Linked DNA regions of Sus scrofa. The protein of the gene in region 1 interacts with the protein of each later gene in a biochemical or structural test. Links are inferred from orthologs where the notes say so. Each region holds a gene or a part of one and is shown on either strand. Other genes may lie near its edges.

Region 1 (4,653 bases):
CGCAGGAAATTGGGGGGTCCCTGCAGGGGTGGCAGGTGGAAACTGCTCAGCACTCTCCGCCCCCCGGCCAGGAAGCCCTCCCTCTGCCGAGCCCATAGCCTACATGGAGCCCCATGTGCGGCACCCCCACCAGGCACCGAGGTCCTCAAGCACACAGAGCCCAGAACCCACGGCAGGAAAAGGGCTGCAGCCTGGCGGCAGCCTCTAGAGGGCGCAGTACCTCGGGCAGCCGGGGGATCTGGATGAGCCGCTTGAAGTAGAGCATGTCAGAAGCTCTGCGGAAGAAGTTTCTGAGACTGCGGGGGAGAGATGCGGGCGGTCAGAGGAGCCAGGCCCCGGCCCGGCAGCCCCAGCCCATGTGGCCAGGAGCCACCGAATCTCTTCCCGGCCATCCTCAGCCCTGCCCAGGCTGCTACCTGTGAAACTGCTCGTGGAACCGGTCCCTGTGGCCTTGCAGGGTGTCTGCGGGGAGACCTGGGAGCAGAAAGGTGTAATGGGACTTCCTCTCTGCTCACTGCTCTCTGCCTAACACTTCAGATCCACTCCCTCCTCCACATTCTAGAAATCCGCAGAGATTAGTGAGATCACCTGCCGCCAAGCTGGGACACACCCCTCATGGGGAGGGCCAGCCAACACCCCCGTGAAGGGCTCAGCTCTGGACTGGATGAGGGAAGGCAGAGGGACAGAAGCTCCACCCCAGCCCTGCTGTGTTGTCACGCCGCTCTCTCTAGTTTGCCTGAGGTTGACGGTGGAGCGGCTCACAGACGCCCGGCCAGTGGCCCTTTCTGAACACTAAGGAGACGCCGCAGGCCGCCTCAGCAAGCGGGGTGAGGCCCACTGCCACCTCCAAGGCCAGATGCTTAAAGGAACCAAAACACATAAAACTAGCAGCAGCTCTTCTCACTAAATCTTTGTTTTGGAAAATAGCAATTTTTATTTTTTAAATTTTATTCTTTTTTTTAATGATTTTTTTTTCCATTACAGCTGGTTTAGGAAAATAGCAATTTTTAAAATAACAAGTATGTTATTTATGGTAATGGGTAATGAGATTATTGCTATGCTTAATTAATAAATATCTCAAAGTTGCTTGGTTTCCATTTCTGATAGTGTCTATCAACACAGTTCCTCTGGGCCTTGGGCTGACCCTCAGGGCCTGAGGCAAGCAGAATTGGGGGTTGGGGGGAACTCACAGGAGTGCAGCTTGAACATGAGCTTGACAGTGTAGTGGTAGAGATGGCTGCAGTCCTGGATGACCTGGATGAGGGGCGCCAGGCGGCATTGGCCCGAGGACATCTGGGACACAGCAATGGCCGTGTTGAGCTGCCGGAACACTGCAAAAGAGAGGGTCGGGAGGAGGACACTGAGCACAGGGAGCCGGGAGAAGCAGGCGCAGAGCCCACTCTGGTCACAGGCATAGTGATGCCACTTTGAGGACAGTGGCTGAGCATAAGCCCTGGCTGTCATCTCATGGCACTGTCACAGCAACTTCAGGAGGTAGGTTTGAAGATGGGGCAATCACCTGAGAAACCAGCTTTAGGGGTCCTGGATGGGCAGCGGGACTCTACTCCAGGCCCTGGGACAGTGACGTGCTCCTCAAGGCTGGAATGGACCCCCTGTGCTGAAACTGCCACAGACCGAGGCCCACTGGGCCCATGAACGAGAGTGACGACAAGGTGGGGGCAAATGAAACCCAGCTCAGCTTGGCCAGGGCTTCCCGAGCGCCTCCAGGTGATGGGCCCAGGATGTGGAGGGACAGGGTGACTTTGACTGTCCTGCACCCATGGGCCTCCAGCTCCCCCTGAATCTTAGGGAAGGATGGAGACCTGGGCTTGGTCTGTTTCACAGCAGCGGTTCTCACTCAAGATGCAGTTCTGCAAACCCCAAGGGACTCCCAAACTTCACTTGCACCAGGGGTCAATCTCCCCTGCCCCCAAGAACCAGCCTTTCTTTCATCCAATGGACCAAATAGGAGAAGGGACAAATACACCGAATTCTTAATTATGTGCTACATCAAGTACATTTTCCTTGTAAAAAATGAAAATACACGCAAGGAGTTCCTGCTGTGGCACAGTGGGTTAAGAACGTGCAGCGGTTTGGATCACTGTGGTGGTGTGGGTTTGATCCCCAGCTGGCACTGTGGGTTAAGGATCCCCATTGCTGCACCTGTAGTATAGGTCACAGCTGCAGCTTGGAGTCAATTCCTGGCCCAGGAACTCCATATGCTGTGGGTATGGCCATAAAATAATTTAAAAAAATTAAATACCCATGAAATACTACGTAGAGTTTTAAATACATCATAGTCACTTATCATCTGAGGGGTGTTCAGGACACTTCCCGTTCGGGGCTGTTACAAACCCCCTCACACTATTTCTCAGGGATATGGTGGCACGTGGGTGGAGGTGCCCACCTCCCCTCGAGGGGACCACTGGGCGAGGCACATCTCTACAAGACGGCTGCCCCCCAGACTCAGCCAGCCTCAGAGTGCGGAACCTGGCAGGCCAGGAGGCTGCCAGACCCACCTCTTTCTAACTCTGATTTCCCTTAAAAAGGCATTTGCTTTTCACTCTCCTATGGAGAGCACTGAGTCACCCACAAGTTGTTCTGCCCAAACAATGACCTCTGCAGCCCAGGGAGGGTGAGCCCCCTGAGGTTTCCCGACCGAGGACTGGGAACAGGCCTTTTACAGCAGGGAATGGGCGAGACGGCCCAAGGCAGCTGTCTCAGGGCGGGCTCTGCAGACCTGAGTCCAGAGGGAGATGGATCAGGAACCTGAAGAGGCTCCTGGCAGCGCCCCCTCCCACCCCCACTCTCCCTGCCTTGAGGCCAATGGAGTGGGTTTCCTTTAGCCGAGATCTTGCCCTGGACAGACTGTGGTGGGGGGCCTGGCGTCCTGCAGGGGCAGTAGAGGCCTCTCCTTCTGGTGCTTTGGGGGCACCTCCCCTGGAGGCCCTGTGACCTGCTTCTGGCGGGGGCATGGACCCCTGGGGGCAGGTGCGGTCATCAGTGGTAAGTCAGGCTGGCCCCCTGGAGGTGGCAGGCCTCTCTCCCTCTGGTCCCAACCCCAGCCCCGGAGACTGACCCCCAGACCCTGGATCTGGCCAGCTCACCTGATTCGGAGAGCTTCAGCTCACAATCCATGTAATCAAACATCTCCACGGTGAGCTGAAAGCTACAGACAGAGGGAGGGAGGAAGGAGGAGGGAGGGCTGAGAGGCAGGGTCTGTGAGGAGGGAACACAGTTCAAAACACGCCTCTGCACAGACAGCAGTCCAACAGCCCCAGCGCCCAGTCCCAAGTATGCCCCATCCTTCAGCTTTAGCCTCATGTCCCAGGCACAGGACCTCAGCCCCGGACAGAACACAGCCCCCGTGGGGACCCGGGTGAGGAACACTGCAGGGACAGACAGGGAAACCGAGGCACTCACATGTTGTTGACGTCAGTGCCAGCCGCCTTCTCCAGCACCTCGTCTGTCACCTCCAGGCCCGCAGGAAACTGGGGGTGCTGCAGAGAGGACACCACCACTCAACCGCAGCCCCATTTGGCTCTGGCCCAGACCCACTTCTAGTTTTTGAGGGAGGGGGAGGGGTGGGAGAAGCCCCCCAGCCTGTGGAGCCGCCATCTGCCCAGATGACCCGGGGAGAGGGGACAAGGACGTCCAGTCAGGGCGCAGAGTGGGACTGAGACCACCACCTATGTCTAGAAAAGCCTCAGGGCCTTAGGACAGTCCCCTGGGGTCAGGCCAGGACAGACCCTACCCTCCACGATGTCCCAGGACATCACAGAGGGAAGAGCCCAGGGTCCCCCCAGGCCCACGACTCCTGAGGAAACTACCTTGAGGTGGAAGGAGATCTTGGTCAGCAAGAGTTTGGTGTACACATTCACCAGCTGTCCATAGCGGTCATGCAGATGCCCCTGTGGAGAAAGGGCCCAGGGGAAAGATGCGTCTGGAACATGTCCAGGAATTCCTCAGGGCAAACAAGGAAGCTGAGGCCAGAAGACACAAGGTGACCAGGGAGGTGTCATTCCTTCACCCACCCACGCTGTCACTTATTCATTCAACAAACATTGCTGAACCCTGTAGAGGCGGCCAAACTTCTTTCCCAAGAGCCTCTGCCAACTCCCTCTCTGCCTATTGCTCTCTCTTCTTCTTCTTGCCAAAGAAACTCTTGTGACAAGAGAGCTCTTTGTTCAGGGCAAGAGGCCAGCTCAGAGTTGGGATACTTTATTAAAATGCTGGTGGCAGCCAGGGAGGCACATTCTAACAGGCGCGTGTACACATCCTCCCTGATGCTTCCTCAGTCACTTCCAAACACCATATCCCTCGTGGCCACACCAGCTGAGCCTGCGTCTGCAAATGGCACCAGGGACACTGGTTTTCTTACTTTGAGGAGCTTTCTCTCTGTAGGCCAGACAGTTCCCAGGGCCCCAGCAGTGTTCCCAGAGGACAAGCAAGGCCAAAGGCCCTCTCTCCACCCAGGTGACCCCCTAGATCCCAAGTGTCATGGAGTGAACTAGAATGCAAGCTCCTGGGGCTCTGACACGTCACAGTGGATGACAATCTTCTGGGGAGCTTGCTGACAATGCAGATGTCCAAGATTCAGAAGCTGCTGGGCCTGGGGGCCAGGAGTCTGGGCTCAGGGTGGGGACACTGCCA
Region 2 (4,653 bases), on another chromosome or scaffold:
AAAAACAAAAACAAAAACCAATTATTGAATACCTGCTATGTGCTAGGCACTGTGCTGGGTGCTGGGGACAGACAGTGAACAGAACAGGCAAGATATGCTGACACAAGGGTGATGTTCTGATAGAGGAGACAGGCAGTGGACAAGTAAGCATTATGATAAAGTGAGGCCATTTGGGACTGTGGGTTATTGGGCAAATAAAACTAACAGAGAGGGACTTTAATGATAGAAACACAGGGGACTCCCCATGTGACAAGAAGCGTTTGAAATTCTTTACACTTTTGAACTCATTTTATCCTCATCTTAACCCAATGGGGTGAGCACTGTTTTGTAGCCCATTTTATGAGGAGGAAAATGAAGCACAGAGAGGTTGAGTGACTTGCTCAGGGCCACACAGGGGGAAGAGTTGCTGGCGGAGGACACAGCAAGTGCAGAGGCAGGGTACAGTCGCAGGAGACAGTGGGTGCGAGGTGGTTTGAGATGTGAGGGATGTCCTGGTACTTGGGTGCCACAGACAGCTGGGCAGGTGGACAGGCTGGGTACACCGCCCTGTGTTTGCATCCTAGGATGCTAACGGTCCAGCTGATGGCTACGCTGCCATTGCCCAGGCGGACAGACTGACTCAGGAACCCGAGAGCATCCGCAAGTGGAGAGAGGAGCAGCGGAAACGGCTGCAAGAGCTGGGTGAGGGCCGGGCTGGGGCTGGGAGCTGGGCTGGGGTGCCCCTGACACTGGGTTGGCTGTTTGGGACATGGTTGGGGTGGGGACTTGGTTGAGGATGGGCCCTGGGACTCCCGCCAGGGATGGAGGGGAGAAGCTGCCAGGACAGCTGTGTCCTCATGTCCCTGCTGGAAAACTGCTGCTCATTCACCTGTTGGGGTCACAGATGCTGCCTCCAAAGTGACGGAACAAGAGTGGCGGGAGAAGGCCAAGAAGGACTTGGAGGAATGGAACCAGCGCCAGAGTGAGCAAGTTGAGAAGAACAAGATCAATAACCGGTGAGAGGATGTGAGGGGGCTCTGGGGACTGTGAGAGGGCTGGGGGGACAGCGAGAGAAACCATGGGGACATGAGAGGACCTATGAGGACACAAGGGGGCTGAGGGGGACAGTGAGAGGACCTATGGGGACATGAGGGGGCTGTGGGGACAGGGAGAGGACCTATGGTGTGGGGACTACTGAGGATGGTGATTTGGCAGCGAGAGCTGGGAGGAAGGAGAAGCTGAACCCCCCAGAGCTATTCCCTCAGCCACGCACGGAGGTCAGAGCCCTGAATCTTACCTCCTGATCATGACAGAGAAGATCGAGTTTGTCAGTCAGCAGATGAGGTCCCAGGACCCACTGGAACATGAGCCAAGCTGCCCTGGAGCCCAGTGGCAACAGCTTGACCTGGGCTACCTGTGGCCACGGTCAGCATCACAGGAACACAAGCCTGGCTGGGAGGGAAGAGCCAAGCTGTGTGCAGGATTTTATTGCTTATAGAAATGACAATGCTTTGACCCAGAGCAGCTAAGGAATAAAAGGCAGAATTAGTGGCCTATATAACTGGAAAGGCCAGGGGTGGGGATGCAGGCATGGTGGGCTCACGGGCGGCAACAAAGTCCATCAGCGCTTACTCTTACTGTCTCTCAGCTCCGCTTTCCTCTGCGTTGCTCTCCCTCTCAGGCACGCACACCTGGGATGGGGGCAAAGCTGGCCACCAGCAGCTCCAGGCTTCTGCTCTATTTCCTTGGCAACTTCAGCAAAAATAAACCTCTTGCTCCCATAGCTCCTGCCGAAGTCCTTGGGCTGACCGTCATTGGTCTGGTATGGGTCACGTGCCCATCCCGGCCCCAGTGACGGTCTCGGGGGAGGGACTCTCCTCTGATGGACGCAGCCTGGGCAATAGTCCCATTCCTTGGGTGGTGCTTGGGGTCCCATCCCACCCAAACCACAGGGACTGAGTGGGGGCAGCTGATGCTTCAACAGACAATTGGAATGCCCTTCCTGGAAGAAGAGGGACAGATGATGGGCAGGAAAGACAGCAGATGCCCACCCAGGGACACCTTTGCAGAAATGGATTCAGACTGGACACTGCCCAGCAGCCCTTGCCTTTGTGTTCTTCAAGGTACCAGGCCCACCAGGAAGGGAAAGGCTGGCTCTGGGAAGCCACCAACTTCTGTTCAAGGAGCTGCTGTGTATGAGGCTCTGGGCTGGGCAGTGGGGAGACAGAGATGAAAAGGAACCAGTCTGTGTCCTCACATAGCTCAGGGGAGAGAAACACACATGTAGAGCTGAACTCAGTAGTAGAGCCCTCTGCAGGAGGGCTATGGAAGCAAGGTTGGGGGGACTTCTTTCTCTGGAGACCTGGGCTTTGAAGGATGCTTAGGAGTTCACCAGGAAAAAGAAGATGGGGGTTGGGAAGGGTATTCTAGACCAGAGAACAGCATGGTATGAAAGAAAGGGACATTGTGCTCGGGCACCAGGGAGTGGGGGGAGAGAGGGCGGGAATGAGGGCTCACACATGCAGGGCCGCGAATGCCAGGGTTGGGCAGACACAGTTGGGGAGCCACTGACGGTTTATAAACAGGAGGAATAACATGATCAGGGCTGAGTTTTAGAAAAGACCACCCACTCGGGTGGGTGGAGAATCCCTGTTCTCTGGGCTGTGGGTAGTTGCCAAGCCTTCTAGAACTGAGCTTCCTAACTCGTCTCCAATGGAGGTACTAACGCTGTCTCTCTTTCTCTTTAACCCTCTGCCTGTCTGTCTTGCCATCCCGTCTTCCCCCCACCTAACCCCTTTCCCCTAAGGATCGCTGACAAAGCATTCTACCAGCAGCCAGATGCTGATATCATCGGCTACGTGTACGTGTCTCCTCTGCTCCTCTGCAAGGGCCCCTGTGTGTGGCCGGAGCAGTTTCTTGAGTCTCCCGCTTGTGGGGTATAAATGAGTGTGGCTGGGCCTGGGGCAATGATCAGAGCAGGCGGTGAGCCCGCAAGGCGGGTACAGGCACCAATCTTCACCTCCATCCCTCCAGCAAATGTTTATTGAGCCTCTACTCTGCCTGGAGACAGCTTTGCTAAGTCCAGGCAGAAGAAAGAAAAGATATCCAGGTGAGAGAGGCGAAGGGCGAAGCAGGCCACCTCCCTTCCTCTGAGATGCCTCTCGGGTGGGAGGTGGGTGAGTCTTCCACTGAACAAGACAAACATTGAGGGAGCTCCCGTTGTGGCTCAGCAGGTTATGAACCCGACTAGTATCCACGAGGATGCTGGTTTGATCCATAGTCTCGCTCGCCAGTGGGTTAAGAATCTGGCATTGCTGTGGCTGTGGTGTAGGCTGGCAGCTGCAGCTCCATTTTGACCCCTAGCCTGGGAACCTTCATATGCCACTGTTGTAGAAAAAGCAAGCAAGCAAGCAAGCAAACATTGAGTGCAGGTGCCAGAGGTATAAAGAATGCACAGCCATCCCCTCCTCCTGCCCCCAAGTGTACTGCTTAGAGCTTCAGCCTGAATTTGACCTTAAGCTCCTCCCCAGACCACCATGGGCCCCTCTCATGTGTTCCTGGTTTGGGGGTCTAATCATTTCTGTAACTAATCCAGACTTGAGATGTAGAGACTTCCTCTCATGCCACCCCAGCTGGTTGATAGTGACAGCCTGGAGGGTGCATTGGGGGAAAAGAATGCAGTGATGAACGTGTGATGACTGCCACGTGCGTATGTGCCAAATATTTGCTGTTCCTCATCCTGGGTACGCCCTTGGCAGCCTCTGACGCCGTCTGGGCTAACCCTTCCCTCACCGAACATGGGACACATCAGAGTAACAGCCTTCCGCCCCTCTTCCACCCCTCCCTTCCGTCCACTCTCCCATCTGTCTAGGCTTACCCTCTGCCAGTCTCTGGTCAAACAGGAATAAGACACACAAGGGTCTGTTCCCTCAAGTTGGGGAGGACCTGTTGTGATAAGAGCCACATGCAAGGACATGCCAGGCTCTGGGAGCCACCCTCTGCTGGGGGAGCCAGGGCAGGCTTCAGAGATGTGGAAACTTCAGCTGTCCTAAAAGTGTGGGAAGGAGTGTGCTGGGTTGGCAGGGTGAGGAGGGCATCCTAGGTGGGAAAACCTGCTGGGGCCAAGGCAAGGAGATGGGAAATGTCTGGCTGCCTGTGGTATCTGGGGTGGTGGGAATAGAGCGGGAGGTGGTCAGTATGGAGCCAGTTACAAAAAGCCTGCTGTGCAATGTTGAAAAGCTCAGACTTGATCCTGAAGGCGGTAGGGAGCCATAGGAGGTTGGCAGGAGAGTGGGGATGGCAGAGGGGTGTCGCCCCTGGGGAATATCACAGGGGGTTCAGTGCTCCTGTTACGCCTGAAGAAATGGCCCAAAGAGCACCTCAGGAAATCCTGAAGAGAGGAAGCATCTAGATCGGCACTTCTCAGACTTCCATGTGCCTGCAAATCACAGGGGCTCTTGTCAAAAGGGAGATTCTGATTCAGGAGGATGGAGGTGAGGCCATGATTCCGCATTTCAAACAAGCTCCATGCTGCTGCTGCTGCTGGACCACAACCCCCACTCTGAACAGCAAAGTCGGAGGAGAGTGTCTTGATCCGGAAGAAGGCGCTCGTACGATGGCTCCCCTCAGCCCCCCAGCTGGCCAACTCCGCACAGCACCTGACATTTTCCCAGG

The links.
Region 2: the proteins of HIP1R (region 1) and CLTB form a complex in vitro, tested with the Homo sapiens proteins (2 studies listed by BioGRID). The link is inferred for Sus scrofa from reciprocal best matches to the Homo sapiens genes HIP1R and CLTB.

Annotation. Positions count from the first base shown.
Region 1 is NC_010456.5:30,003,393-30,008,045, forward strand, and holds part of HIP1R (huntingtin-interacting protein 1-related protein), read right to left. Parts: intron 3,912-4,653; coding exon 3,831-3,911; intron 3,501-3,830; coding exon 3,424-3,500; intron 3,170-3,423; coding exon 3,108-3,169; intron 1,332-3,107; coding exon 1,191-1,331; intron 475-1,190; coding exon 417-474; intron 297-416; coding exon 221-296; intron 21-220; coding exon 1-20. UniProt on the Homo sapiens protein: Component of clathrin-coated pits and vesicles, that may link the endocytic machinery to the actin cytoskeleton. Binds 3-phosphoinositides (via ENTH domain).
Region 2 is NC_010444.4:81,478,039-81,482,691, forward strand, and holds part of CLTB (clathrin light chain B), read left to right. Parts: intron 1-563; coding exon 564-681; intron 682-883; coding exon 884-995; intron 996-2,785; coding exon 2,786-2,839; intron 2,840-4,653. UniProt on the Homo sapiens protein: Clathrin is the major protein of the polyhedral coat of coated pits and vesicles.